Linked DNA regions of Notamacropus eugenii. The protein of the gene in region 1 interacts with the protein of each later gene in a biochemical or structural test. Links are inferred from orthologs where the notes say so. Each region holds a gene or a part of one and is shown in the gene's direction. Other genes may lie near its edges.

The links.
Region 2: of the proteins of MAPKAPK2 (region 1) and ZFP36, one has a biochemical effect on the other in vitro, tested with the Homo sapiens proteins (2 studies listed by BioGRID). The link is inferred for Notamacropus eugenii from reciprocal best matches to the Homo sapiens genes MAPKAPK2 and ZFP36.
Region 3: of the proteins of MAPKAPK2 (region 1) and ZFP36L1, one has a biochemical effect on the other in vitro, tested with the Homo sapiens proteins (2 studies listed by BioGRID). The link is inferred for Notamacropus eugenii from reciprocal best matches to the Homo sapiens genes MAPKAPK2 and ZFP36L1.

Annotation. Positions count from the first base shown.
Region 1 is NC_092873.1:432,632,134-432,642,169, reverse strand, and holds the start of MAPKAPK2 (MAP kinase-activated protein kinase 2), read left to right. Parts: upstream 1-5,979; 5' UTR 5,980-6,326; coding exon 6,327-6,644; intron 6,645-10,036. UniProt on the Homo sapiens protein: Stress-activated serine/threonine-protein kinase involved in cytokine production, endocytosis, reorganization of the cytoskeleton, cell migration, cell cycle control, chromatin remodeling, DNA damage response and transcriptional regulation.
Region 2 is NC_092876.1:32,194,204-32,204,499, forward strand, and holds ZFP36 (mRNA decay activator protein ZFP36), read left to right. Parts: upstream 1-4,931; 5' UTR 4,932-5,047; coding exon 5,048-5,116; intron 5,117-5,760; coding exon 5,761-6,810; 3' UTR 6,811-7,563; downstream 7,564-10,296. UniProt on the Homo sapiens protein: Zinc-finger RNA-binding protein that destabilizes several cytoplasmic AU-rich element (ARE)-containing mRNA transcripts by promoting their poly(A) tail removal or deadenylation, and hence provide a mechanism for attenuating protein synthesis.
Region 3 is NC_092872.1:310,772,951-310,782,675, forward strand, and holds the start of ZFP36L1 (mRNA decay activator protein ZFP36L1), read left to right. Parts: upstream 1-5,312; 5' UTR 5,313-5,597; coding exon 5,598-5,645; intron 5,646-9,725. UniProt on the Homo sapiens protein: Zinc-finger RNA-binding protein that destabilizes several cytoplasmic AU-rich element (ARE)-containing mRNA transcripts by promoting their poly(A) tail removal or deadenylation, and hence provide a mechanism for attenuating protein synthesis.

The DNA of each region.
Region 1 (10,036 bases):
CCTCCCTCCCTCCCTCCCTCCCTCCCTCCCTTCCTTCCTTCCTTCCTTCCTTCCTTCCTTCCTTCCTTCCTTCCTTCCTTCCTTCCTTCCTTCCTTCCTTCCTTCCTTCCTTCCTTCCTTCCTTTTTCTTTCCTGAGGGTTCATCAATGCAAGGAAACTCCTTCCACCAGTGTTAACTGGCAACTTGCCTGTAACTTTTCATTTTCAGAGAGCACTGAGAGGTTAAGCACTCATCAGGAGGCAGAATGGACAGAGTACTGAAACCAGAAAGACCCGGGTTCAAATCTTGCCTCGGACACTTCCTTAGCTATGGTTAAGCTCTCTCAGTCCTAATTTCCTTATCAATAAAATGAGGATAATGATCACACCTACCATACGGGGTTGTGAGGATCAGCTGAGGGTGACATACATAAATACTTTGCCAAACCTTTATGTGATGTATATGTCATCTCCAGGCTCACTGAGCTAGTATATATTACAGGTAGGATTGAAATCTTTCTGACTCCTGGGCTGCCCTCTCTACTCCATCACACTCGCTCTCCAGGCAGGTACTATAGCTATATCCCCGTTTTAAGATGAATAAATTAAGGTCCAGTGACTTGCTCATGGTCCCACAGTTAATACTGTACATATCTGGGAGTAGAATTTGAATTCTGGTCTCCCTTGACTCCAAATTTAGTGCTATTGCCATGATTCCATATGGCTTCTCCTGCGTGTATGTGTATGTGTATGTGAGTATATGGATGTTTATTATACATGCCTGTACAGGTAAGGAAGGCTGAGGAATATTTTGAAAGTGGCAAGAGTTTTAGAAGTCTCTCTCCAGGTTATATCCAAGTGAAACCCCAACATGATAATCTTCATTTTTATCTTTTTTCTCTCTCACTGAATCTGTGGATTTTTAAGCCAACTATTTCCCAATGCAGGGTGGATGCAAGCATCTGTAGATGGGTGTGTACACAGTGATCTTCACCTATGTACTTGGGTACCTACTATTGCCTAGATGGCATCTGCATAGGAGGCTTATAGGGAGGGAGAGGAACTAGCCCTGTGATTTCATTAGTTTAGGGAACTCCTTCTACCAATGCAAGTTGGCACCTTCTCTGAAATTTAGAGTCTGAGAGCTGAACACTAAGCAATATATTGACTTGCCCAGGGGCCCTCAGCCAGAATATGTCAGGCAAGAACAATACCTCAAGGTAGATCTTATTGGTTTCAAGGCTAGCTCTCTATCCCCTGGATCATCTTGCCCCTCATAGTAACAATATTGATAATACCTTAGATTTTTTTTTGATAGATATTTTTGTTTTCTAAAGCACTTTCATACATCCTTTAAACACAACTACCCAGGGACTCTGTGCTAGGTGCTCCTCAAAATATGGTCTCAATCTGGGGTCAGAGGGAGCTTCTGATTTGATTAAAATAGGCATTGATAGCCTCACTTTACAGATGAAGTTATTGGAGTCAAACGATGGGGTATATAACTAGTTAGCAAGATAAATGGGAAGCCTAAGCTTTTCTCATACAATCACTTCCATATGTGAATCATATATGATATTGACACATGAACAATATATGATATTGTTCGTGTGCTTACATGCACAGATCCTCATGAGCTTTGAGTGTGTGTGTATGTTATGGGTGCACTTGGGTAGGAATGATGCCTTAGGTATCTTCATTCATTTATAGTTTGCCCTATGCTCTGCAGTGGATTGAGGATTAGGAGACCTGACTTCTAATTCTGACTACCCCAGTGACACTTAAAGTGTTTGAGTCTTAGTTTCCTTGTTTTTAAACCTGGCATAATAATACTAGCCCTACATATGTGGTTTGATCCTCACAAGAACCCTGTGAGGTAGACAGGGAGACTCATAACCATTTTACAGGTAAGGAAACTAAGGCTCAGAAAACTTAAGTGACTTCTGAGCCTCAGTTTCCTTGCCTTTAAAATAAGATCCAACAATAATAATAAGGCCCAATAGTAGGTACCAGAGTTAGTACAAGAACCTGACAGTCATTTGATTCCCTGTCTACTACTCTTCCCATACCCCACCTTTCAGTGAGGGTTAAGGAAGGAAAGAAACAAACAAGAAAGTTTTGTATTAAGTACTTACTATGTGCAAGGCACCATGTTAAGTATTTTACAAATATTATCAATACTCAACAATCCTGAGAGGCAAGTGCCAGTACTATCTCCATTTTATATATATATGAGTAAACTGAGGAACACAGAGGTTAAGTGATTTGCCCATGGCCACAAAGCTTGTAAGTATCTGAGGCTGAATTTGAACTCCATCAACTGACCTACCATATGCTGGACCATGTGTTAAGGTCTTCCTGACTTGAAGCTTAGAGCTTTTTCCATCAGGCTGCCTAATTGCCTCTTGACCAAACCTTACAATCTATCAACCCTGTATACTCTAGCATCTGAGGATTGGGTTTTGGGTAACTTGTTTATTCCAAGGCCAGCTTGCTCCTGGGCCTCCCCTGAGTCTCAGTTGGATGGGAAGATAGCTTCTGAGGTCAGAGGGTAGTTCCCAGGGCACAGAGCAGAGAGGCATTCAGCACTTGAAAGAAGGGTATCTATGTAGGTTGTATCTTTTATCCACCCTTAGAGGTAGAGGAGGACAGTAAAAGATCCAGCTATGGACAGCAAAGAGAAAATCTCAAGAGTCTAGCTAAGACTATCCTAGCCCACAAAGGCACAACTTCACTAATGACTCTGGGTTCTGTCGTCTGGGATCAAGAAGAATAAATCTAAACTTTTCTCTAGGTGATAGCTCTTCCAATACTTGAAGATCATATGATCAAGTTTCCTCTTTGGCTGTGCCAGGCTAAAAATCCCCTGTTCCCCCAGCAGATCCTTATATAGCATTTCAATCTCTTTACTATCCTGGTCTTCCTCCTTTGGATGTACTCCTGCTTGTCAATGTCATTTCTAAAATGTGGGATCTATTTCAGTTATGGGTCATGGGACTATTATTTTCTTGCTGTTGGGTATTTTGCTTCTTTTAACGTAGTCTGCTACTTCCTACCTAGTGATTACTTATATTTATATATATAAGCCTTTTAAGATTTGTACTTTCCTTGTAACATCTCCCGTAGGTAGGAGATCCCCATCTTACAGATGAGAAAACCTAGGTCCAAAGAGGTGACTTATCCACAGTCACAATCAGTATTTATTAAGTGCCTACTCTGTTCCATACACTGGGCTAAGCACTGAGGATACAAAAGACTGTTTTTGCCCTCAAGAATCTTAAATCTAATGGGGGAGACAACTTACAAACAAATATATACAATGCAAGCTATATGCAGAATAAATTGGAAATGGTTAACAGAGAGAAGACGTTGAAATTAAGAGGGGTTGAAGGTTTCTAATAAAAGATCAGATTTCAATTGAGACTTAAAGGAAGCCAGAGAGGTCAGTAGTCACAGTGGAGGAGGGAGGGCATTCCAGGTATGGGGGACAGCCAAAGAAAATTTCCAGAGATGAAATGTCTAGTTCATGGAGCATCCAGAAAGCCAATGTCACTAGATCAAAGAGTACATATGGAGGAATAAAGTGAAAGAAGACTTGAAAGACAGGAGGGGGCCAGGTATGGTAAGTGATCAGAGGAAGAATTTAAAGCAGGTCACACTCTTTCCATCCCACCGGGCAACTTTTCAAGCCCAGGACAGAATTAGCTTTTTTGGCCACCATGTCATACTTTTTTGACACGTTTAGTTTGCAGTCCATTGAAATCCCCAGATCTTTTTCACAGGAACTGTTGTTGCCTAGCCATATTTTCTCAGCATTTTGTATTTGTCCACTTGATACCTTTGTCAGTTCAAAAGTCATTTATTAAGCACCTATGATGTGGCCAGACACTGTTGGTGTGAAGCTTCATCTAAGGGTAGGACTTTACTTGGACCCCTATTCATTTTCATCCTAGATGTGTTCCCTATTTCTGACATGACTAGCTCAGGATGCCAGTGCTGCTAACCAGCTGCTAACTAGCTATCCTCCCCAGTTTTTGTTCATTTGGTAATTTGACATGCATACTATCTGTGCTTTCACCTAACTTATCAAAGTGTTGAATGCTGCCTTAGTTTCTTCACATGAAATAAATGAAAGAGAGAGAGAGAGAGAGAGAGAGTCCTAAGAACATTCCTTGCGTGTCTAGGGCAGCCCCAGAGTCAATAAGGAACTTTTTTCCAGATTCTCTGGTCAATATAAGTCATCAAAACAAAAAGGAATATTCAGGCTAAGATCAATTACTGAGGGGTGGGGTGAGGTGGGGAAAGGACAATTAAAGGGTATACCTGGAATGTAAGCTCTTTGAGGGCAGGGGCTGGTTTTCATTTTGTCATTTTATCTACAGCCTAGCCTGGTGCACTTAATACATGCTTGTTAAGTTGAATTTAACAGGGCCAAGTACAGATCCCTGGGGTATTGTACTAGATACCTTCTTCCAGGCCCACTGCCATGGATCTAGTTTTTCATTTCAGATCAAACATTTAAGTGCTTAGTACATAAAAGGCACTCTTCCAGGTGCTAGATACCACGCCAGAGAATTCTGGAATTTCCAGCATTTCGTTCAAAGGCATTGCCTGTAATTGTTGTCATCATTGACATTCTGTCCATCTTTAAAAGACCAATTTAGCTACCTCCTTTTTCTTTGAATCCTTCTGTGTTCAGTACAGCCAAAAGCGAGCTCTCTCTCCCTTCTAACTCTCATACCACTGGCTTTATCTTTCTTATTGTCCTTATCTTAGTCAGCCTTATATTGCAACATCATCTCCCTGGCTGGATCATAAACTCCTTTCGGGCAGGAACCACAGCTTAAATTTGATTATTTACATTTTTATCTGAAGTTTGCAAAGGCTTTGCTTTCATAACCTCAGTCGTCAAAGAGGTCAATCCCCTGACCCCCTCCTCTTTGCGAAAGAGGCTAAGGGAATCATCACTGTGAGTTTTCTTTCCAAGCTCACTTTAAAAGGAAGCACCTTTCTGAAGGTCCAACATTTCATCTTCTGGTCTGTTTTTGATATCCCCATTTTACAAAAGAAGCGATTGATGCTCCAAGAGGTTTTGACTCACAGAGAGGAAATGAAAGAAGGCAGACGACAGGAAGCAAGACTCGAACCCAGATCTCAGGACATCAAGTTCAATGTTCTGCCTCTAACCTTAGCACAGTACTTTCTTCACTTGAGCTACTTGATGTCTCTTGAATAACTGTCCAGCAGTCTTTATTGTCCCTCTAGGAATTCACGATTTTTTGCACTCCTTTCCCTGCCAGAGACTAGCTTTTCCCTTACTTTTTTGGAGTCACTTTCTTTCATAAAAGCTGGCAGAGTCCGATGAAGTAAGGCAGCTATTATAGTGATTTGGGGGTAGAAAACATGGGTTTGAATTCTGGCTCTGATATTTACTACTAGTGTGATCTTGGTCAAGTCATTTACTCCTCTCCACTGGGCCCGGGTTTCCTCCTCTGTAAAATAAAGGGATTGGATGAGATGACTTCTAAGGTCCCTTCTAGCTCCAGTTCCTACGGTTCTCAGTATCTTCGTGTCCTTTATCGGATGCACTTACGACCCCGAGTCACAAAGCCGCAGAATATTAGGGCTGAAAGGAACCCCCTCTTTTATTCCCACCAGCCAGAGCTGTCCAGGGTCTCTACGCTCACGCAGCCATCCTGAATAGGAATCACACAACTGAATAAAAAGTGGCCTTTCGCCTTGAATTACTCGGAAGGTTCCCTTTCCCTTTGTGTAGACCTGGCCTCCAAGAGAAGCCTCTTTTGATTTTCTCCCGTTCTCTGTCCTCAGCTTCTCCCGGCCGCTTCACTCCAAGCCCAGTCTCTGATCCTTCCCTTTAAGGGTTCCCCCTCCCCTCCCCCACACCTTCCCTTCTCCCGTCCCACCCCCACCCCCCTACATCTTCCAAACCCCGCCCCCTCTGGCCCTCCCCTTTAAGGGCCGTCCCCGGCGAGGCTGAGGCTCTGACGCGGCCGCCGGGCCCCGGGGCTGGATACATTGTCGCGCCGAGCTTCCCCCGGGCCGGCCCCCAGCCGTCCCCGCGCGGCTTCCCGCAGCGCCAGGCCCCCCGGGGGGCAGGCGCGAGCCCGCGAGCCCGGACGGACCGACGGACCGACGGACCGACCGAAGCCGCCGCCGGGCCGAGGCTGGAGCCGGGGCTGAACTGCTCTGGGGAAGCCGGCTCTGCCGCCGCTGGGGAGCAAACTTCCCAGCCGGGCGGGGGCTGGCGGGGGCCCCGTCCAGGGCCGGAGGAGGAGACGGCCCCGAGTCCTCCTCCTCCCGTTCCTGCTCCCCGGTCTCCCGGCACCATGCTGTCTAACTCGCCGGGCCAGACCCCGCCCGTGCTGTTCCCCAACCCTCCGCCGCCACCCCCGCCCCAGCAGCCCCAGCCCCCCTCCCAGCCCCAGCCCCCCGTGCTGCCTCTGCCGCCGCCGCCCCCTCCTCCGCCGCCGCCCCCTCAGCCCCCCCAGCAGTTCCCCCAGTTCTATGTCAAGTCGAGCCTGCAGATCAAGAAGAATGCTATCACGGATGACTACAAGGTCACCAGCCAGGTCCTGGGGCTGGGCATCAACGGGAAAGTTTTGCAGATCTTCAACAAGAAGACCGGGGAGAAATTCGCCCTCAAAGTAAGTTTGGGGCCCGGCAGGAGGAGAAGGGGACTCCAGGGGGCGACTGCCACCTTACCCGGGGAAACCAGGAACTGCTTAAAAAGATCTACCTGACCCTCCCTTGTCCCCCCAGCTCCTTCCTGGGAACCCCGAGCGTAAGGAGGGGGAGGAGGAGAGAGGGTGCTGCTGTCTGAGTTATTGCTGGTTGTTTTTGTGGAGTGTGTGACTTTGGGGGAGGGGAAGGTCAGAGCAGATTTTTGGTGTCCCTGGGATCGCGGGACAGTTTCCGGTCACCTTAGGGAGTTAGCGTAGTGAACTCCAAAGAGAGTAGGGAGGACTATACCATTTTGGGGTTTGAGCGGGCATCATTTGAATCTGCATTGGGCAGATCCTGGATCGCTTCTGCTTTAACACCCGTAGTCGGTGTCAAGGAAGTGATTTTGAAGGGTTGTGGTTCCCCATCTCTCCTCTCTCTGCCTCTCCCTATCTCTTTCCTTCCCTTCCTCTTCCTCCCCCCTCCCCTCCCCTTGCCTCCCTCTCTCGCTCTCTCTCTCTCTGCCGGCACAAAAGGCCCATTACTCATTGAGCTGGTTGGTTGGTTGGTTTGGAGAAGTCGGATCGTAGAGGTTTATTTTGCCTCTTTCCTTATTTGGGAGCCGGAATGTGTGATTTCACTTCCCTTGCTCTCTAGAGTAAAAGTCTTCTGTCTTCTACTTAAAATGCATTGGCCCAAAGTAGTGCCAGACCGGAGATTCCGGAGGGGGAACCCCGCCTTAGACCCATGGGTGGGGGAGGGTGATTTGTTTTGGCCAGTATGCCTCTTCCTTTTCTCAATGTCCACCCCCAACCCCCATATCACTCCAAAGAGGGAGGCTTCGATACTGTATCTGCTATTTTCGTAGTTCCATTGATCCAAATTATTATGTACGCTTTGACTTGGCCTTTTGAAGTTTTCAGTAAATCCTTGATGAGATGTGTGGGCTGGAAAAGAAGCTTCTCCTCCTGAAACCCTAAAGATGAGAGATTAGATGTGTCCCTTCACTAGGTACTGCTTCAGCTTTAGGGAAGAGGGTAGAGGGGCAGAAATGGGGGGGGGGGGGGCACAAGAAGGCAACCCTGTGAGGCAAGGAGTTTGACCTTGGAGATCCCACATTGGGAACTGGGACAAAGCAGACTAGTCTGAGCCAGGGGCAGGTCAAGGGGAATCATCACAGAGTTTTCTTCCCTTAGTGGTTTTAAAAGGAAGCACCTCTCTGAAGGTAAAACACTTCATCTTCTGGTCTGTTTTCGATAGGTATCTTGGAGATTGGAGGAGAGGGGAAAGTCCTTGTTTGCATGAGGGGACAGATGTGCAGTCCTGGGAAAGAGTCAACAGATTTGAGTTTGGAATCCTGGCTTTGTCACTTCCTTAATTAGCGAGGTTGGGTCTCAGTTTCCTCAGATGTAAAATAAAGATAGTATCTACAGTACCTCTCTCATTGGATTGTTGTAACAAAGGAGATAATGGATGTAAAACACTTTGTAAACTGTGAAGTGTTTGATGTAAGTTGTTAGTGTTAATTTCCTTCCTTCCCAAAGTATTTTTTAAAAGGTGTATGAATTCTTGTTTGAATAGCCTTTATTCCTTCTCTGAGGGATGGTGAATAAAAACAGATATATTGACTGTAGATGTGATGTACTGGCTCCAAAGCATGAGTGTTTTTTTTCTTAAACTGAACAGATAACTTTCAAATTTTCATTTGTAGTTGCATGTTTCTCTGACTCTAAAGGGATGAAACATAAGCTTGCAATGACCTGTTCTTTTTCAAACTGTCTTTTAAACCCCTTTTCTTTCTCAGTCCGTTATATTGGGGAGGAGAAACTAGAGTTATGACCTTGTGGAAGAATTCAAAGTTTGACCAGAGTTAACTCACAGTGTTAAGCCTGGCACAAATTCTTCTTTACAGGAGAGCTTGGTCATCAGTTGTTCAGGGATATGAGTTACTTGCGCTTTTTCCCAAGGAGTAAAAATACCGTATGGAGGTATCAGAACAGTCGCCTTATCATAAAAATAAAAGGCCTGGAGAGTTTATATAATTCACCAAAAACCTTTGAAACATTTCTTTATTTTTGCTTTGAAGGAGGAGAGTGGTTAGAGAGATGATTGAAATTTCTCTTCTAATTATCAGGAAAGTGATTTTGCCTTTTAAACATTTTTTCCCTTGTGGTCTTAAAGGGAGAATCTCCTAATGTTTTAAATGATACTTTTAGCACAATAGGTTTTTATGAGCACAATTTATCCTTCTCTGCAGGTTAAAAGTAGGTGAGAAGAATGAAGTCACTCTGTTTTGACAGACAGCCTGCTTCTAGATCTCATGAGTTGACTCAACTGTTAAATTGCACATTTCCCACACTTCATTGTGTAAAAGCTTAATAACAGAGGAAGAAAGCCTGGGTGAGGCATCAGGAGAGTATCAGCAATGTCAACAGCTACAGCATATCCAAATATTGGTTAAGACATAATTACAGGGGGAGGAGGGGAATGGGGGAATCTTGTTCGAAGAATCGTGCTGGAAATACACATGAAAGATCTTGACTTTTGATTACTCTCTTGTGCCGATTAGGGAAATCATATGTTAAAATAGTAGTCTTGTGTGTGAAGTTGAGGAGCTTGGAGACCAAAGTAATTGTCCTAGCTTGACTGGTAAATTGGGAGAAAGCCTGGGATGAGAGGAAGGGTCAGACTGGAGGCTTCCCAAACATTGCTTGGCTTATTGAAGTATATGTTTTGTGGGTAGAAATGGGTGATATAGATGGACCCCTTTGTGGCTATGCTTGGTGAAGGGAAGTTGAAGTTGTTATGATGCTCTGAGCCTTGTCTGAGGTCTAATGACCTCTCATTCCTGTTAAGTGATGGCTTTAAAAAAATGACCAGCTTTGCTCCTTCCTTTCTAACTAACCTTTAAATGTGTTTTGGTGGGTATTGTGGTCTTACCTTGTCATATCCTCCTTGCTCTTGCTAAGTATTTTTTTCCCCTTCTCATAAATCTAGAGAAAGGGCCTTGAAATCTGGAAGGTCTCTGTTTGAATTCTATCTTTGGTACTTCTCAGCTGTGTGACCCTGGGCAAGTCACTTCTGTTTTCTTCATCTGTTAAAAAAGGGTTTGGACTAAGATGACTTCTGAGGTCCTTTCTGGTTTTAAATCCTTGATTTGTTATGGCTATGTACTTTGGAAGTCTTGACTTTAGTCCTTAAATATATCCTTTACACCTCACCCCGTCCCCAAAGCAAATCTTTCAAACTTAAATACTGTTTTTCAGGGTTTATAGTTGCTTTTCATGGAACTCCCTTGTGAACCATGTAGGGAAAGTATTATATTTTGATGACAAGAAAACTGAGGTTTAAAGACCAGTCACCTAGACAGTAAGCA
Region 2 (10,296 bases), on another chromosome or scaffold:
TGGGGTGGGGGAAGGTGGGGGGAGGACGCCCGAGTCTGAAAGCCTTGTCAGTTACACCCAACTTTTCCTCCCTTCCCCACCCCCTCCCGTCTCTCTTCCCGGAACCGTCTCTTACTGCCTGGATCTCTCTGCTTGGGACTGACTCCTGTTTAGATCTCTCTTTTCCTGGGACTGTCTCTGTCTCTTCCTGAGACTATCAGTCTGGTCTTTCTGTCTGAAGTCTCTGGAATTCTGGCTGGATCTCTCTGCCTAGGACTGTCTCTGGCTGGACCTCGGTTTCCCTGTCCCGGGATCTTTGTTTCTGAGTCCTTGTCCTCTGCCTGCGACTGTCTCTGACTGGGTCTCCGAGTTTGACTTTCTCTGCTCCGACTTCTGTCACTGCCGCGAACTGTCTCTGGCAGGATCTTTCGTTCTCTCCCCCTAGCCAGTTCTGTCTCTGGATGTAGCTAAGGCTCTTGCTGCCTTTGCCAGGGGGGTATCTCGAGCCCTGGATCTCTGTTCTCCCTCTGACTGGATCACTCCTCTCCCCGCCCCTTCTATCTCCTTTCACCAGGAAAATTGGGACAAGGATAAGTAAGGAGGAGCTCTAGGGTGAAAGCCTGGGTCCCTGAGAGGGGAAGGAAGGGGAGGGGGAGGGGAAGGGCTCTTGGGTCCTAGCCAGACCAGCTTTGCTGACACAGCTCCTGACTCACCCCAGGCTCCCAAGAGGAGGGAGGAAATCCCCCAGTTATATAATCACAGCTACCGCACCCCCAGTGCATATACCTGATCTTGGGCTAACCCTGGACACTCTGATTTTCCAGAGTAGGAGCCAAAGGCTGGATGCTTGAATAGGGAATGGAGGAGGGCCTGAGGGGATCCCTGAGGCAGAAGAGGATCACAGTTGGGGAAAGGAGGGTACTTCTGCTGGGGTTTCTAAGAAGGACCTCTATAAGAGGTCCTGAAACCCAGCTTCCTTGTGATCTTGGGCAGACTTGCACTTTCCTCCTCAGTCTTCAGTTTTCTCTTGTCTAATGAGAGGGTCTTGGCCTAAATGACGTCTTACATTCCTTTTAGGTCCCATGATTCCAGGACCCTGAAAAGGGAAGGGCGTCCCAGACTGGGGTGAGGGGGTGGGGAGGAGGCTTCAGTGAGAACATGCAAGGAAAAGGGAGCTGTGACGCCAGTCTCAAGTCAATCACCCTAACTTCCCTCCCTGCCTGCTGCTGGGGAAGGACCAGGAAGTGGGGACCGGGACCCAGGGAGGGTAGGCAGGGATTATGGATTTAGCCTTCCTCATCTTTACATTTCTCTTCATGCTGACCCTTCAGGCTGTCTGAGACACCTGAGAGTGGGGGGAGAGTTTCGGGCCCCTCATCTTCCTCCTCCCCTTGGGCTTGCCTGCCTGCGTCATCAGCTGATTGTGCAAGGGGGGGGTGGGGCCTGGACACCAGGGTCCAGAGTATTTTTAGCCCCAAAGGAGAAGTGAGAAGGGCGGAGCAGGTTCCTGCAACTGTGCTCTTGGTGGGTAGGGAGGGGAGGTGGCCTGACCTAGCCTCTCCGGGAACATCTGGGATCCAGCTGTGGTCAGCCCCTAGGGGAGGGTCCATGCCCTTCTGCCAGGCCTGGGAAATTCCTCTGGCCCCTTAGCCAGGGGTGGGGAAGACACCCAGACTAGGACACTTTGTCCTTTCCCCCTGCCTGTGGGGGGGAACACATTCAGTCATGAGGCAGAGATGTCACTGGGCACCATCAGAAGCCCTCAAAGGCAGGCAGACCCAAAGGGTCTTGGGCTGACACACAAACCATCCCCTCCTCCTCCCAGTACAATCCCGTGGGGGCACACACACATAATCTCATCTGAAAGCTACAGTGAGACACAATCTGTCACCTTGCCCTGTGTGTTCCTGAGTTGTCTGACACGCTTAGAAGGCTGCGATCCGATCATCAGTCACTCTCTTTTCTCTCTCCCTTCTCTCTCTCTCTGTTTCCATCTCTGTGTCTGTGTCTGTCTGTCTCTTTCTCAATCTCTCATTCTCTCAGGCCTTGGCGGTTTCCGGTCCTGGCCTCCCTCTCCCATGTTGTTCTGGAAACTCTGCCCACCTTCTGGGCCGGAAGCTTGATGATATTTTTAGATCTGCCAATTTCCGCCCCCTTCCCCTCCCCCTTCCCCATCCCAGAGGCCGTGGCCCCCAGTCCCACCCTTTCCCCAATCTCGTTCCAGAGGGGATTCCCAACAATGGTGACTGCCAGACTTCCCAAAATCGGGATTTTCCCTCTCACAGCTCCAAACACCTAACTTCCTGGCCTAGGAAGCAGAGGCTACCTGGGGTTTTAAGTATTCACAGGCCAGAGGAAGCCAATGTGGCTGAGGAGACTATGAGCCAACTCAAGTCAACAACAAACATCTACTATGTGCCTAGCACTGTGCCAAGTGAAGAGACAAAAAGCTTTTAATCGTAGATTCCACAAAGAAGGTGAGGATGCTCCCAATTCAAACATTAAGTGCTTACTGTATACACATTTCTATGCTGAAAACATCAGGACTGTCTTGAGGTAGAATGTGAGAGGAGGGGCCCCTCATAAGAAAGGGAAGGAATTTCAGGAGATATTGGGAAGGTGAGTAGATCTGATCTGGCCCCAAAGGCTAGGGGGTAGGAGGTTGTAAGGTCATCTGAGGGGTTAGAGGTCAGAGATCTGGTACTCTTAGCTGTCAGAGGTTGGGAAGGAGGGGAAAGGACTCCTGGAACCCAGAGATTTGGGAAACTTTGGAGCCAGGAACTAGTTATAGGCTATGGAATTTAAGGGGGTCAGAGGGTTGTGATGACCTAAATTTGGAAGGAGAGTGAAAACCTGAATCCTTGAGGGGAGATGGAGTTGGGGGAGTTAGAGGTCTGGGACCCTGGAGGAGTATATTTCTGCAAGACTCAAAAGGAGGGATGCTAGAAGAAATTTTTTCAAATGTCCATTTTATGTAAGGCTTGATGCTAAGCACTAGAAATATACTGATTTAAACTGATTGTAAAAAGGTAGAGAGGCCTGAGACCTAAGGGCGTAGATGCCAGGCTGGTGACCTGGTACTCCAAGGAGTCGGGCTAGATGGCTAAACAGCTAGGCCTCTGAGATCATAGATTTAGAGCAGGAAGGCATCTTAGAAATTAAGAGAGACACCCCCCTTTCCCTTTATAGAAAAAGAAGTAGGTCTAGTGAGGCTCCTGGACTTGCTTGGGTTCACCCAGCTAACAAGTGTGTGAGGGACAATTTCAATCTAGGTCTTCCTAACTACATGCTCAGTTACTTAGCCTGTATACCAAGTTCCCAAAATCTTTGAAATTATTATTGAATTTTTTTGTTTGGGGGGGGGGGGCTGGAGGATCCCTGGTTCCCTGAGGACACTAGTGAGGGAGTGAAAACTGTGGTCTTTGATTGAGACCAATTCAGTGGGGTTCATAGACTCTCCCTCTCCACTCTACCTCTAAAGCTGGGCCTAGACCCAGGAGCCTTGGTTCTGAGGCATGGTGAGGTAACACTCTGGTTTAGGGGGTGGAGCATGGGGAGCTCAGAGAGTCGTCAGGGAATGAGTCAGGAAGCTGGAATGTACCCACAAGCTCAGATCCCAAGAGAAAGACAAACCAATTCCCCTTAGGATGAGTGAAAAGTGGGGAAGGGTCTTGGGGAAGGACTTTCTTTCTGGGAACCTCTGAAGTGGGGAGAAGAGAGCATTCCATCTTCCCTATCAGGTGGCAGTGACCTTGTCTCTGGGTCCCAGTTTCACTTGTTTTGAGCTGAAATCAAGGCCCAGATCTGAAGAGCATGCTGAAAACTGAGGTTCCTCAGCTCTCTGTTTACAAGGAGAGAGGAACCCCAGCATCGGATCAGCTCCCCCCCCCCTCCCCTTACGTCACCTGATTCCAGGAAGGGCCCCCACACATACACACCCTGCGGTGGGTGAGTCACTGGGGAGCGTGAGAGCCAGCCACTATGCGCAGGTGAAAATTGGAGACCACAGGCTCACGGGACCCAAGGGAGACTTGGGGAGGTCCCAGCTCCTGGGAAGGTCCCTCCTGACCATCCCTCCCCTCCCCAGAGAAGCTTCCCACAAGTTCTAATCCTCACAGAAGTCTTCATTCTGGAAAATGAGCACTTGAAGGAGAAGCCTTCACTTGGGAAAATGAAGATTTCTGTTATTTTAAATGTGTTCGAGTCAGAGAAAAGCCCCAACACAGGCCTAGAATCAGACAGTTCTCCAACTAAGAGGCCATCTCCCCCAAAATCTGACTTTAGTGACTCGAGAAAATTTCTAAGAATGGTAGACATTGTCTCAAGAAACCTGACTTTGCCCAGTTCCCTTAGGAATTTGAGACAAATCCCTGCCCCTCTCTGTGCCTCAATTTCCACTTCTGGAAAATCTACCACTCATGATCTCCCAGCTTTCTCTTCTGGTTGTATTCTCTGGGGTTAGAGAATTTGTAAACTGGCGGCTTCTCCCCTTCTGAGTCTCTCTGTCCCTTGACATCTGGCTTTCAGGTCTTTAGTGCTTGACTGTATCTACTCTTGTGTCTGTCATTTCTGCCTCTGGCTCTGGCTCTGGGACCTTAATGGTGTTTCCAGTTCCTGACCTTCAGCTTCCCACATAGGTAAAAGGAGGGGCTTGGATCTGGGAAAGATCTTTTCAGGTCCTTTCTGGGTCTGTTTCCCCGTCTGAAAAATGAGGGGGGATTAGACTGGAAGACGATTGAGTTTCCTTCTAGGTCTTAAATCCTAGGAGTTGTGATCCAGTGACTGGGGGACCTCTAAGGGCCAGCTTTTCGCCCAGAGTAAGGTGCTGGGCCTCCCCCGCCCCGCCCGGGGGCACTCAGTCCGGGAATCGCTCCTCCCCCGAATCCTCCCTAGTCCCCGCCCTTTCCCGGTCCCCCCGCCTCCTCTGTCTCTAGCTTCTGGAGCTCCCCATGGGTGGGTCCTGGGCGGCACCAAGAGGCCCCTCCCCCAAAAGCAGTCCTTCAAGAGTAGCGCGCTGGCCACCCTCCCCACAGTCCTGGTTACGCGCAGAGCCAGAGCATCCGCAGGGATGGACGGAAGCGCCGTTGCAGGCGGGAAGCCCAAGTCCGCCGGCTTGGAACTATGCGCTCTCTACGAGGTGAGCTGCCCCCTCCCTCTCGCCCTACCCCTGCCTGCCCCCTCACCTCTCTGGAACCAGCGGACCCAGGTGTCGGCCGCCTCTGCCTGAGGTCTGGTTGGGAGGGCCGTGGCGCTGACGGCCAACGTTTCCCCTTTCGCTCAGCACTTCTGGGCACTGGGGTGCCACGGGGCTTTCTTGAGTGCAGATAGCTTGGCAGACTCGGAAATTGGAGTTCCCTCTGGGATCCGAGAAGGGTCCCTCTAGGATAGGGAACCCAAGTCTTGGAAGGGAGGTGAGGCTGCTTCCTCAGGGCATATGTGTGTGTGTGCGCCGGGGGTGTCTTGGGAGTAGTAACTGGGGTTCTTTAAGTTGGGGGGTTACTGGGGGAAACTTAATGATTCTAGTTTCTGAGCTGCCTTAGGGTGGAGTCAGTAGGGGCAAAGAGACCGGGAGACTGACGCCTGGGTCCTGGCCCTCACCCCCCCCCTTTTTAGGGTGGGGCTGAGTTTGGGGGAGTTCTCTAGAGCCTAGACCAACGCTTTAGTTCCCGGGCACTATCCAGGGGTCAGAAGTGCAGTTGGGTGGGGTTGCTCTGCTCTGCACGGCTCAGCGACCTTAGGTCCGACCGTCGATCCCACCCTGATCCTTCTCCCTCCTAACAGAAACTCCTGTCCCTGAGCCCGGAGCTGGCTTCGGCGGCTCGCGGAGAACTGGACCCCGACCTAGGCTGGGGCTCTCGAAGCCCCTGGAGTCCAAGCCTCGCAGATCTGGAGCCACCTTCACCCCCGCGGGCCCCGGCCTCTCTGGGTCCCCGGCTCCCAGGCCGTTCTACTAGCTTGGTGGAGGGCCGCGCCTGGGTGCCCCCGCCGCCGGGCTTTGAGCCCCTGCCGCCCAGAGCCGTGCCAGCCGTCAGCACCGCGCCCTCGGAAGTTGGTTCCACGTCCCCGGTCGGGGCAGCCTCCTCGTCCAGATACAAGACGGAACTTTGCCGGACCTTCTCGGAGAGTGGCAAATGCCGCTACGGCTCCAAGTGCCAGTTCGCCCACGGGCCTGGAGAGCTGCGGCCAGCCAGCCGCCACCCCAAATACAAGACGGAGCTGTGCCGCAAATTCTTAGCCATGGGCGCTTGCCCCTATGGAAACCGTTGCCATTTCATCCACTCTCCACACGAAATTCTGTCTGTGGTGTCGGGTCACCCGCCCCTCCTCCGCCAGAGTGTCAGCTTCTCTGGGATCCCCTCTTCTCGACGCCGGGGCTCTCCCACCCTGAGCCCTCCAGGTCTGCCGGACCTGCCTTCCCCCTCGGGCTTCTTCTCCCCTCCTTCCTCTCCGCCCCCACTGCCCACCGCCCCCGGGGAGGTCCCTTTCTCACCCTCTGCCTTCTCTGCTGCCCCTGGTCCAGTGCCCCGGGAAGCCACGGTGGGAGAAACCTGCTGTCCCTCCTGCCGCCAGACCACGGGAACATGGGGACCCACAAGGGATGCCCTGAGCCTGGGGCTGGGGCTGGGGCTGGCCCGAAGCCCTTCTGCTCACTCCCTGGGCTCTGAGCCAGATGACCAGGCCAGCAGTGGGGGAAGCAGCCTGGGGGGGTCTGACTCCCCAGTGTTTGAGGTAGCAGTGGGGGGCGCTTTTGCCCCCTCTAACTCACACCTCCTGGCCCTGACTCCTCCCCGGCGGCTCCCCATCTTTAACCGGCTCTCTGTGTCTGACTGAACACCCCTGTTACTCCAAACTTAACTGAGTAGGAGATCAGGAAGTTCCTCTCCCCCATTGCCAGCTGTGCCCAGATGTGGAGGTGCCTCATCTGCTTAGCCCCCAGAGCATTCACCCATTGCCTAGTCTCCCGGGGCAGGTCCCTATGGCGAGCAAAAACTCTCAAAGAGGTGTTCTGGGGGTGGGTTTTTAATGTAGCATACTGAATCGACATATGTGTGTATACATACATACATATGTACATATATGTGTATATATACCTACATATATGTATGTGTGTATATATTACAGTGTGTCCCCAAAGTCTTAATTCAGTTGTAAGCATTACTAGGTTAAAACTGTACTGTCTTTGAGACACCCTGTTAAGAGGGGGGTCAGAATAAGAGATACCCCCCCTTTCTTCATGCTGTGAAAAGGCTTCCCCAAGTCTCCCCTGGATGGGGATCTCCCCAGCCCTGGTGCTCAAATCCTACCTAACCAGACCAAATCCAAGTCTCCCTGCCTCACCTGGGGCCCCTTATTTATGGTGACGACATTATTTATTCCTACGGGTTTTATAGTATTTATATATGCAGTCGTTTCCTCTCCCTTTTGTCTAATATTGGGAGGTTGCTGCCACTATAATATATATTTGAAAGGTTATTATATATGTGTGTATATATATATAGCTAAACAAAAAAGAAATCTCTCTATTTTTGTTTTTTGGTGGAGTTTGTTTTTTAATTAAAACTAATACAGTTCACAAAAGAGTAATCTTATGTGTGAAAGGCTGTCTTCTTGTCCGTCTCCTGAGGTTCAGGGGTGGGGAGGGCTGTCCTGAGACCTAGGGGGCCGGTCTAGCTGGTTCCTAACTCCTCTGGCCCCAGGCTAGGGCGGTTCCAGATGAACTCACCTAGGAAAGGAGGGCACCCCCTCACCTGAAGAGGTGGCCCAGGTGAGGTCACCAGGAAGGACTGGGGGTGGGGAAAGGGATTGACTACAATCTTAATAACAAGCTCAGAAAAGGTTGTCCGGGCTCGGCCTCCCTGCTCTGCTGGCTGGGTCCTGAGTCCCTCTCCACAACGCCCATTTCTTCTATCTTCCTCCGGGCTGATACCTGCCCTCCATACTTGCTGTTCCCATCCCTCAGCCTTGTCTGTATCTCTTTGTCAGTCTCTTGCTACAAGTTTCAAGGGGTTTCCACCTTCACCCCTCTTTCGTCTCTCATCCCAGCCTTATCTCTAGGGCTGGCGTGTCTGTCTTGGAGGGTCTCTCTGACTTGCCCTCCCTCCTGAGACTCTCAGAAGCGTCTCCTCGGGTGTCCGAGGGATCCCAAGAGGCTTCTCGGGGCCTTTGGGGAGTCCGTGCCTCTGTCCCTGCCCTCCCGGTGATTCAGGAACCTCGTGGTCACATGAAATACTGGTAAAGCGATGAACGAGCACAGCGCCCAGCACAGAGGCGCTTCATAAAGTCCCCTTTCCTGTAACTCTGGTCCTTCCCGGTCAGTCTGCGCCTCCGTCTACTTCCTGGTGTCGAAGCGGGGGTTCCTCCCTTCCCCGTCAGCCAGTAGACTCTGGTGGAGCGCCTGCGGCGTACGGGTCCTGCGCCAATAAAGGCTGGGCACAAAGGCAGACGGCACCTGCCCTCCGGGAGCTCCCAGTCTAACCCACCGACGGCGGGGGAGGGGGTGAAAGGGTGCGGGGTCTCTGCCCGTCCTCTTCGCTCTCCGAGGCCGTGGGTGGGGACGGGAAGTTTCCGTCTAGCTGGGGAAGGAGCATGGGGCGGGAGGGGGGATGGGGACGGAATGTGCCCCTGCCCAGGCTGGGCGGGAGGCTACGTGTCAGTGACGCAGGGGTGCGTGTGTTTGTGTGCGCTTGTGCCCCGGAAGCCCCGCCCCGACTCTGGGGAGGGGAGGGAAGAGAGGGGCCTCCGATGCCCGTATAAGGCCTGAAGGCCTCCCCGGGGGCGGGGCCTTGCGTCAAGGCCGCGGACCCCGCCCCTTCATCCGAGAGGCTCCATCGGGACCCTTCCCTGGGCCTCCTGTGACCTTCGGCCTCTTCTTCTGGGAAACCGGAGGGGGCGGGGGAGCGAGTCCCAGAAACGCTGGGGTCTAGAAAGAGCCCCGAGATCTGATACGAGGGGACCGAGTGACCCTCAGGGAGTCCATCACAAAGACCGTGGCTGCCCCCTCGCGGCCGCCGTGCGGAACGGCACCTCGTCCAGCCCGCAGGATCCCGGGAGCGCAGGAGCCCGAGGCTGCGAATTCACGCCTAGCCAGGACTCATAATTCTCTATTAAATTTCAAATATAAAGTGGGGGAAAAAGTCTGTGCTCCAGGTGAGGATCGAACTCACAACCTCGGCATCGCTACGGCCGCACTGCTGTATAAGTACCGCGCGCTAACCGATTGCGCCACTGGAGCTTCGGCGAAAGTCCCGCGGAGCGGGCCCCTTCAGGCTTATCCACGTGACCCTTCCTCTCCCGGTTCTCTTCCTTCTTCGTTCGTCTACTCGTTTCTTGCGCCTGCGTGACGTCACACGTGACGTCCCTTAGATTCCTCCCCAGAAACTTCTCCGCCGCTCTCTAGTGTTCAGCGGGCGCATGCGCACACCCAACCCCCGCCCACATCCCCATTGCCCACATTACAGCTCGCCCCTGCCCCCTGCCGGCCAATGAGAAAAACGCCCTTCTACACCCTGTCGCCACTGGCTGAAACAAACCTAGGACGGGGGTCGGGAGCAAGGAGTAGTGCTGGGATGTCCAGGTTTAGGGGACGGAATTGGGTGTTCGGGTGCCCTTCGTCCTGCGAGTTGACAAGTAAATGGGAGGTTAGGGTTGCCTGGAGGCAGGTTGCCCCTAGACCTGACTTAAACAGGGGCGCTTGGGATCCTTCTCCCTCCTTATCTGTGCGGTTGTCCCACATCCCCGAGAGTTGGGCACCCGCCACGTGGCGGCCCCGGGCACGATTTGGGATTTCGGACCTCTGAATCTGAAGGGAAAAAAACCACCGCAGAATTCTAGACTCTGATGCTCCGCCCCCGATCCTCTCCCCCCTCCTAATTACTTTGTATTATTTTTGAATAAGTGAGATGTTCTGGCAGTGATCTCGGCTCGGTCCCTTCACTAGAATGCAAACCCCTTCCGGGTGGAGACTGGAGCTGTTTGTGTCCCCTAACCCCTGGGTACTTAGCGATCGATTACCCACCCCAGGCTGAATGAATGGAATTAACGAGGGAGGGTTTTGTGTAAATTTCAGAGGTGAAAACGGAAACTTCTCTTTCCGCCCCGCGGCGGCTATCTGGAGACCTTGGCGGGTGCTCGGAATTGTTCCTGCCTTATCTCCGAAATTACTTTGTCCTTTCTTATCTAGTGACTTTTACTCACCTCCCTCCCCTGTGTAATCTCCCGGTGAGCCTGGATGATTTCCTATATTTTATAGGGTCAGATCTTTGTAGAACCAGCGCCTACCACAGTCGGTGGAAAGGTCAATACGCACGGGACACTAAG
Region 3 (9,725 bases), on another chromosome or scaffold:
GGACTCTGCTTTATAACAGGGTCAGTTAGAGAAGGAGGATTTACAGTTAACAGCTGACATTTATATGGCGCTTTACGTCATGACATTTGATCCTCACAACTCTGTGAGGTAGGCAGTCTTCTCATTTTATAGATCACAGTGTCATAAATTTAGAGTTTGAAGGGAATTTATTGTTCATAATGTTTTTCAGTCCTGTCTGACTCTTCGTGACCTCATGTAGGGTCACAAAAATTTGGACATCCCTGAAAAACACCCTTTTGTTTTCTTGGCAAAGATACTGGAATGGTTTGCTATTTCCTTTTCCAGCTCATTTCACAGACAAGGAAACTGAGTCAAACGGGGTTAAGTGATTTGCCCAGGGTGTCACAGCTAGTACATGTCTGAAGCTGGATTTGAACTGAAGTCCTCCTCATTCCAGGTCCATTACTCTAGCCACTGTGCCACCTAGCTGCCCAAACAGCATTTGGCAAGCATTCACCGCATTCCAAGACGCTGTGCTAAGCACTGAGGATACAGAAATGCAAAACACAGGTCCCTGCCTTGACCTCAAGAAGGTCATGTTCAAATGGAGGAAGCCACATGCAAAGAACTACATAACATTATACAGTATAAATTGGAGGTAATCTTGAAGGGGTTGCAGAAGGTGGGCTTTGAGCTGAATTTTGGAGATAAGACAGAGAAGCTTGGAGGTTAAGAGGCAGGAGAAGAACATTTTAGGTACAAGGGACAACCAATGAGAAGGCAGAGAGTTAGGTGGTGGTGGTGGTGTGTGTGTGGGCGCACATGGAAGGGAGCAAAGTATAAGAAGACTGGAAAAATAGGAAGGGATATGTTAAAGAATTTTAAAAGCTAAACAGGTTTTTACCTGTTTTACTTTTCAGTCTCTGTTGGATTTTCCTCCACCTAAATGTGGATCTCCTCCAAGTGTATTTTGGACCTTTTTTTTTTTCATACTATCACATTTGGTGGTCTTATCAACCCCTATGGGTTCAATTGTCGTCTCTATACAAAAAATTCTCAGATTCCTGACCTCTCTCCTGACCAACATCACCAGCCGCCTTTTGGACATTTGGAACTGGATGGTCCAGAGGTATGTCAAACTCAGCACGTCCAAAATAGAACTTATTATTTCTTCCCCCCCCCCCCCCCCCCCGCAACTTTCCCATTGCTGTTGAGAGCACCTCCATCCCTCAGACTCAAAATCTTGGTGTCATCTTCGACTCCTCACATACGCTCATCCCACGTATTCAATCTGTTAGCAAGTGTTGCCATTTTTACACTCACATTTCTTATAAATGTCCCCTTCTCTTCACTCAGTTAACTGCCACCCTACTGTGGGCACGGATCACATTCGGACAATTGCAATAGCCTTTGGTTGGTCTCCTTGCCTCAAATCTCTCCCTATTGTCCACTCAGCTTCCAAAGCCATCTTTCGAAATTGAAAAGTCTCACCTTGTCATCCCCTGCCCAACTCCAGTGCCTCCCTACTGCCTCATTTTCTATCCAAAGGAATCGAGGACTAGAGGTGGTCATACAGGTAGTAAATGGCACAGCTAGGATTCAGAATCAGGTTTCCAGCCTCCAGATTTAACACTGTCTCCATTGCTATGATAAAGAAACTGAGGCATAATGAGGCTGTGAACTGCCTAGGATTACACAGCTAATAAACACCTGATGAAGTGACCAAAATCAGGTCTGGGAGATCAACGTGTGGACTTTCTCCATTGTACCATGTTAGATTTTGTCATATTCAGTCAAGCCAACAAACATTTATTGAGCTTCTATTGTGTGGTAGATGCTACGCTAAGCCCTGGAGATACAAAGTAAGGCAAAAAACAGTTCGCTTTCAAGGAACACCATCCAATGACTTGAATTTTGGATAAAAAGGTTCTGTGAGGGGGAAAGTCAGGTTTCAGTCCCCCAAAGTTGCCCAGAAAAGGTCTCTTACATGGCCATATATTTCATTCTTGAACTTGTTTAGTCATCTGTGAATGTCTGCCACTCATCTCCCAGGGGATCCAAGTGAAGAAGGATCAGCATCACAAGGAGCAAAGACCCTGCCTTCCTGAGTCATTAGTACTTTCATTGTACAGGGCACCTCAGATAACAAATATCTTCTAGATCAGGCTGAAGGCATTGATTTTACTCAAATTTCATAGTATACTAAAAAAACAAATAAAGCCATCTGCAACATTCAGGTAAAAGAAAAAAGCTTCAGATCTCATGTTGACAGGTTTTACCAAAAAAAAAATCTATCAAGAGTTAGAAAGCAGGATAAAACTGGGAGGAAATAGAAGCTTAGCTGAAGCTAAAGATGCTGCCAAGGACAGTTAAATAACGATTGGGGGAGGGGGTATGAGGTTTGTTAAGTAAGTGCTATAAGTAAGTAACTTATAACTTCCCAAGAATTTCTAAGACTTTCTATTTTGAGGGGAGCTCTGGGGGGAAGAGATAAAGAGGAAGTTCAGCCTAGATTTATCATATTAGGAGATTAAGAAGCAAGTTGAAATTCAGATTTTTTTAAAATCACTGCCTGATAGTCTAGTTTACCTATCTAATTACTTTTTTTGGTAACAACACCTGTCTTTTTTCAGGACTTTGGATACTGTTTGAAGTGTGAGGAAAATAGTTTATTTTTCCCTCTACATTATCCTATTTGATGTCATCAGACATCACTATAGATTGATAGTGTTTTTATGTGTGTGTGCATGTGTGTATGTGAGCACTTGTGTGTGTGTGTGTGTGTGTTTATGAGAATTCTTTCAAAATATTTAGACTTTCTTCCTGATGTGGGTCATCTTACAATGGAGAAGATCATTAGTTATCAGAGTGGTAGATAAAATGATATATTTAAATATTCTACTTCCATACAACATTTACTTCTGCTAAATCCCTAATTATATTTAATAGGAAAACTGCTAAAATAACTTAACAACAGAAATACTACCTAATATAGTGGAATTCTCAGTAGCTACATACAGGGCTGTAGGGGGCTAAAGAGGTATTTACTGGTCAACATAAAGGAGGTTCACCTTTTTGAGATGTTTGGGGCTCTAGAATTCTACCTGAGCCACTGGCTCAAACCTAAAATTGTGAGTAGTATCAAACATTTGTGTTAGCATATTACTTAAATAGAATATCTGTTTAAACGAGGCCTTCTGGAGAAAATACCATAATCCAATAGAATTAACTGCAATGGTGAGAATTTCAGGGACTATGGCACACTAATAGAGGGGATCTTTGGAAAGCAAGGAGCCTGGTAAAATCCTTCACATCACACCCTGACTCCTACTGGTGGGATCTTGATTATATAATCCCTCCTTTCCTATCCTCAACCCCTCACATAAAAACTCATTAACAGAAATCAGTATCCCAGTTTAGCTAGGGGATCAATGAAAGGGAAGCAGGGTTCTAAAGGTGTGGGATATAAGCCAGACAAGTTTGGAAGAGATCAGGGAAAGGAAGAGGAAAGGTCTCGGTGAGATGCTGCAATGGGGAGCATTTTGGGATGTGGGTGTTCGTCCTTCATTGCCGAAGAAGACCATGCCATCAGAGAAATAATGACATGACTTGCACTTGACTTTGTTTTGAGTGAGTGAGGGCTGTGCAGGTCACCAGCCTCACTTCTCCTCCAGAGCCATCTGAATCCAGTGACCAGATTTTTGGGATAGTCAGGGCATGAAGACACTGGCTGCTGCTGGTGGGATGAAAATGCCTAAGGGAGGACCAGAAGGATATGGGATTGTTTTCAACCACCCTCACTGAGCTCTCACATTCTATGATTTGGAGATGTTTGGAGTGGGGTCAAATTTTGATGACTTCTCAGTTTGGCCTGAATAAACTCTGTTGATGAAGTAGTTATCAGCACTTGACCAAGACAGCTGGCCAGGAAAAGCAGAATGGGGAGATGGGAAATCTCATAGGTAATGGGAAATGGTTACCCTGGTAACTGTCAGAAATATGGATTGAAGGAGTGAGGACTGCCAAGAAGAGGGAGCTGAAGCTCAGAGTCCTATGTTCCCCAATGACCACAGAGGAAAATACCATTAAAAGAGAAGATAGAAAGGTAATTGCAACACTTGTACCATAACAACAACCAAGTTAATGTGTGGAGAGGAAATCATTAGGAGCTTTAATAGATCAGAAGAGAGAATTCCCTTTCTCCCGGCTGAATTTAGATTTCCCTGGACTTGCATCCCTTCTTATGGTCTGAGATTTGAACCAAAAACTGAAAGGGGTTGAGAGAAATTTCTTCTGTGATCTTGGAGACAACAGTGAACAGAATTCTGGCAATCTTGTTCCCTAAGAGATAGCAGCAATAAAGGACAGGGCTGTGTGATCTATGCAGGAGATGAATCTAGGAGCTGGAATGAATTTGTTGATGAAGAAGAAAAATCTCTGAGTTTAATATGAAGGGTCTATAAGAAAAAGGGTGGGCATGCTGCCGTTGCCCAGATCAAGAAGATTCTGTGATAGAAGGAAACTGGACTCAGAGTAAATACCGATTAGCTGACTTTCAGGCACTCTGTCCCCATCTTTGGCAGCTGAAATTTGTATGGTATCCTCAAACCTGACAATGTGTAGGAGAGAGATTCTGAACACCAGAATTAGATCCTGAGATCTGGAAATAGCTTGTGTTTGTCTGAAGGGTCATTCTAACTCCAAACTCTCAAGCCCTCTCCCCCAGTTGTTCGTGTGGCCAAATGACTGGTAATGCTAGAAATCTGGGGGAGAAAGGGAATGGAGAAAACATTTTCTGTGTGATCTTGTGGACACCAGTGAGTAAGTTTCTAACCATCCAGGTTCCTTGCTTTAATATGCCCAGAAATACCTGGGATAATGGAGGAAGGATGGGAAGCAGCTGGACAACAAAATTAGAACCTTGACTATTACCACCAGAGGGCAATCTTGACATAGCAATTAAAGACTTTAATGAACATTTCCCCATCTTCTTTCCCTACTTTCAGAACTGCTTGACTTACTACTCTTCTTGACTTACTACTCTTCTATCTCCAAAGGCCCAATAATGCCGATTCTTTTGGACACTAGCATGGAATACAGACCAAGGTTCTAGAACAATCAAACACAGGGAGTTCTAGCTCTGGCATACATTAAAGCCAGGCTGTCACTGAGGATTCTTGGGTTCTCTGCTCAGCCACTGACTTTCTGTGTGAGTGTGGGTTAGGAGGCTTCCCCTCTGTGTAGACTGGCTTCCCGTCAACGGTCCCTTGCGGTCTTGACTTTCTTTCAAGAGATGGGGTGAGGATGAATGAGGTACGGATCATAGACTGGTGTTCACTACTCTCATGAGCATGTTTTATCAGGGGTGGGGGGTGAGGGGGGGAAATGATCACCCATCTGAGACTTGGCATGGTGTAATTGTTTGTTATACCTCACAATGGGTGGTTGGGGAAAATGAGGCATGGAGCTGGGAGTGATTTGCCCAGAGTAGTGCTCCCATGGTGAAGTGAAAAATAGAACCTAGGACTCCCAATTCCCAGCTTTACTTCTGCTGGTTTTAGTGGAACCATGTGTCTGGGCCAAACAATGCTGCTCCCCTGGTGGTGTGGGCAGCGCTGCTGCCATTTATTTTCCATATGGTGGACGAGAGAATAGACATTGTGGGAGGAAATGAAGGCTACATGGTAAGTTATCTGGTTCTTAGAAATAGAGAATTTCAGCCTCTATAATAGCTGTGTGACAGAAGTTGTTGTTCGGTTTTGTCCAACTCTTTTGTGACCCCATTTGGGGTTTTCTTGTCAAAGACACTGGAGCAGTTTGCCATTTCCTTCTTCAGCTCACTTTACAGATGAGGAAACTGAGGCAAACAGGGTGAAGTGACTGGCCCAAGGTCACACAGCTAGGAGGTAGGTGTCTGAGATCAGATTTGAATTCAGATCTTCCTCACTCCAGGCTTAGCTCTTTATCCACTGTTCCACCTAGCTGCATGAAAGAAGTAGGATACACTTATGGGACTCGCCTGTCTTAGGATCATAGATTTAGAGCTAGAAGAAACCTTAAAGCTCATCTAATTCCCTTATTTTATGGTTGAGAAATTGAGGCCCCCAGAAGTGAAATGACTTGGTGGTCTGGTTGTAAATAAACAGACTGATCACCAGGCATCATAAAAAATAGGTTCTGTTCCTAATCTAGCTTTGCTCCTCACACACTATGTGACCCTGGATAAGTAATTTCTATTTCCTGAGATTCTGGTTCCTCACCTGTAAAATGAGGATTCATCGATACTCTTTAAGGTTCCATCTGCCTTCTCTAAGATGGCAGATACCAGATGAGGAAATCTGAGAACTGCCAACGTCTTCCATCAAATCCTCTTGTCATGCAGTCTGGGCTCACTGTCTTTTCCCCTTCCGGTCACCTCTGGGCCAAGTTAGCTGCCAGTTCTTTTGAGGTGGGGGAGGGGGAAATACTTTTTCGATTCATCTGCTTTGTGATACAGCAGGAAGAAAGGACCCCTTGGGAAACAGGACTCAGAGCATTGTGCAAGTGGTCAGCCTATGCTGGCTGGGGTGAATCATGTTCCTAGCACGCAGAAGGAGCCTCAGAACACCCAGGCATCTGGGAAGTTTCTACAACCACTCCTCCTCATGCCCCTACCCCGAAGGGAGGAAAGAAGTCTCTTTTTTTATTCAAAATAACACAACTTGTTTGTACGTCTAAGCCAACAACATAACTATTTTTACATCCATCCCAGCAGAAGTGTCTGGGAATGATAGAGCTGGTAAATAAAGTCTGGTTATGTAAACCACACTTTATCTGGCATATTTCAAGTCTCTTGGTAATTGACCTTCCCTGCTCCACTCTGCCTACCCCACCCCCTCTTTACCCTCCCCCCATTGCTGGTGAGGGCGATCTATTTAGCTTTTAGAATTGCTGCAGGAGGAGGAATACCTCATACCAGGGGGTAGGAGGATGAAGAGGATGGCACTTCCATAGCCTTTCCCCCGTACTCACCGTTCTTCCAAAAAACACTTCCCCCTCCAATAATTTTTTTGAATGAATGTGAAAGAGGTCACTTGAGAATGAAGGCTCTTCATTCTACCCAGGAAGGGTAGACTAACTTCATTTCCTTTTTCTGACAGAGTTACTGGACTGGTAGAACAGGGCTGTGCTGTTGCTAGTTTTACCACAGACTCCAGCAAAGCCATTGTTATCTTTATGGATAATGTGGAGAAATGTAAATGAAAGTTCAAAGTTCACAGCTGGCTGTAACCTGACCCAAAGAGTAGTCCCTAATAAGTTCAGTTTCTTATCAGATTGGAAGGAGTTTTCTAATGGGGCCTCCTGGAGATCTGTCCTTGGCCCTGGGCTGTTTTACGGCTAGTATGTATGTACATGACACATATGCACACATATATACAGTACACACATGAATGTGCACACCAAAGGCACATATATGTGTACACGCATGTTGTGTACATATGTACACGACCACATGTGTCCTCACAATATGTGCTTACATGTGTGTGTGTGTATGTGTTAAAGTTCACAGAGTTCTAAGGAGGTGGATACTCTTATTATCCTCATTTTACAGATTGATGAAACTGAGGCTAGGAAAAGTTAAGTTATTTAGGATCTCACAGCTAGCAAATGTCTGAGGCAAGGTTTGAATTCAGGTCTTCCTGACTCCTGGAATATTCCAGGAATATTTTTTATTAATGCCCTGGATAAATAAAGGGCATAAGATTTTATGCAAATAAGATTTGTAGTTGACCCAAAGAAGGATAACTCCTGTCCTGGGTGTCAGGATCAGAAAATGTCTCCACAGTGTCAATGGCTCAAATATAGTAATACTAACTATATTAAGAAGAAGAATGTTAACTAAGATTTACAGAGCACTTTAGAATTTGCATATATCTAATTTTATCTTCACAACAACCCTGGAAGGCAAGTGCTGTTGCATGGACTGAAGCTAGCCTGGAAAAAAGAAGACAGAGCACATAACTCCCTTCAAATAGCTGAAGGATTGTTCATGCTGAAGACAGATTAGACTTGCTCTGTACTGCCTCTCCATATCCCCTGCCCTTAGCAGGGGACGTTGTCTCATATTTCTCTGCAGTATATATGATACTAATATGATATATACTAATATCACATATTATTATATATACTATGTCATTGTCAACTCCTCCCTTCCTCACTTTACAGTGAATCAATTGCCAAATCTTGTTCTCTCTTTTTTCACAGTATCTCCTCTTTATTCCCACAGTTATCACCCCAGTAGAAAGTCTCATTTCCCACCTGGATTACTGTATTAGCCTGCAAGTTGGCCTTCCTCTTCGATCATCTGTCTCCAATCTTATCTTTCACACAGCTGATAAAGAGATTTTTTCTCCAGCACAGCTGATTAAATCACTTCTCTCTGCTCAATACCCCAGTGGCTTACTATCCCTTTAGGATCAAATAGAAGGGTATGCCTGCATTTTAAGCCTGGATAGCTTAAAACTGCACTAAGGCTTTTGGAATACCCTGTATAAAATCCTTTGGAATTGAAAGCTTTTCATAAGCTGGCCCTTTCCTGCTTTTCTTGTCTTTTTAGGTGCTACTTTCCTCCATTCCCTCTACAGTCTAGTCTAGTCATACTGGTCTGCCTACTGCTCCTCAGACCTAATAATCTATCCATCTCCCTTCGTGGTGCCTTTGCACTGATTGTCCACTACCAGAGCCTGCAATGCTTTTCTCTCATTCAGCTGTGTCTCCTAGAATCCCTGGCTTCCTTGAAAATTCAGTTCAAATACCACCTTGGGGGCAGGATGCCTTTGCAGATAGAACCTTATAGATACTAGTACTACTACTACTGCTACTACCACTACTACCACCACCAAGAGTGTTTATATAGCTCTTTAAGGTTTGCAAAGTGCTTTACAGATATCTCACTTGTTCCTCACAACAATCCTGGAAGGTAGGTGCCATGATCCCATTTTACAGATAAAGAAACTGAAGCAGATAGAGGTTAAGTTACTTGCCCAGGGTCACACCACTACTGTCTGAGACTGTATTTGAATTCAGGTCTTCTTGACTCTACCTCTGGCCCTCTATCCACTGTGCTACCTCCTAGCCATGGCAGATACTTAAGGAAAGTTACTTAACCTGTCTGTCTCAGTTTCCTCAACTATAAAATAGGGAAAATAGCACCTACCTCTAAGGGTGGTTGTGAGGATAAAATGAGATAATATTTGTAAAGTATTTTGCAAAGCTTAATTAGCAAAACAAAATGCTTTATGGTTTGTTGTTGTTCAGTTGTGTCTAACTCTTTGTGACCCCTTTAAGTGTTTTCTTGGCAAAGATACAGGAATGGTTTGCCATTTGCTTCTCCAGGTTATTTTACAGATGAGGAAACTGAGGCAAATTAAGTTAAATTACTTGCTCAGGGTCACACAGCTATGAAGTGTCTGAGACCAGATATGGACTCTAGGTCTAGCACTCTCTCCACTGTGCCACCTTGCTGCCCCCTGCTCTATGGTAGTAGTCTTTAAAAATATGAACTATTTAAAAAGTAAGCATTCTTTCATAAAGACTAAAGAGCATTGTATTGTTACACCTACACTCTCCTGTTAAGTAGTGGATTGGAGTGGCATGACCTAATCCATCTGGAGGATATGAGTCTGGCACCAGTAATATCTGTTAATAAGTACCTTTCTTTATTTAGCTGCATCTCCAGGTGCCCCATTGGAGCGCTTATCACAATTGTGCAGCCCATCTTACAT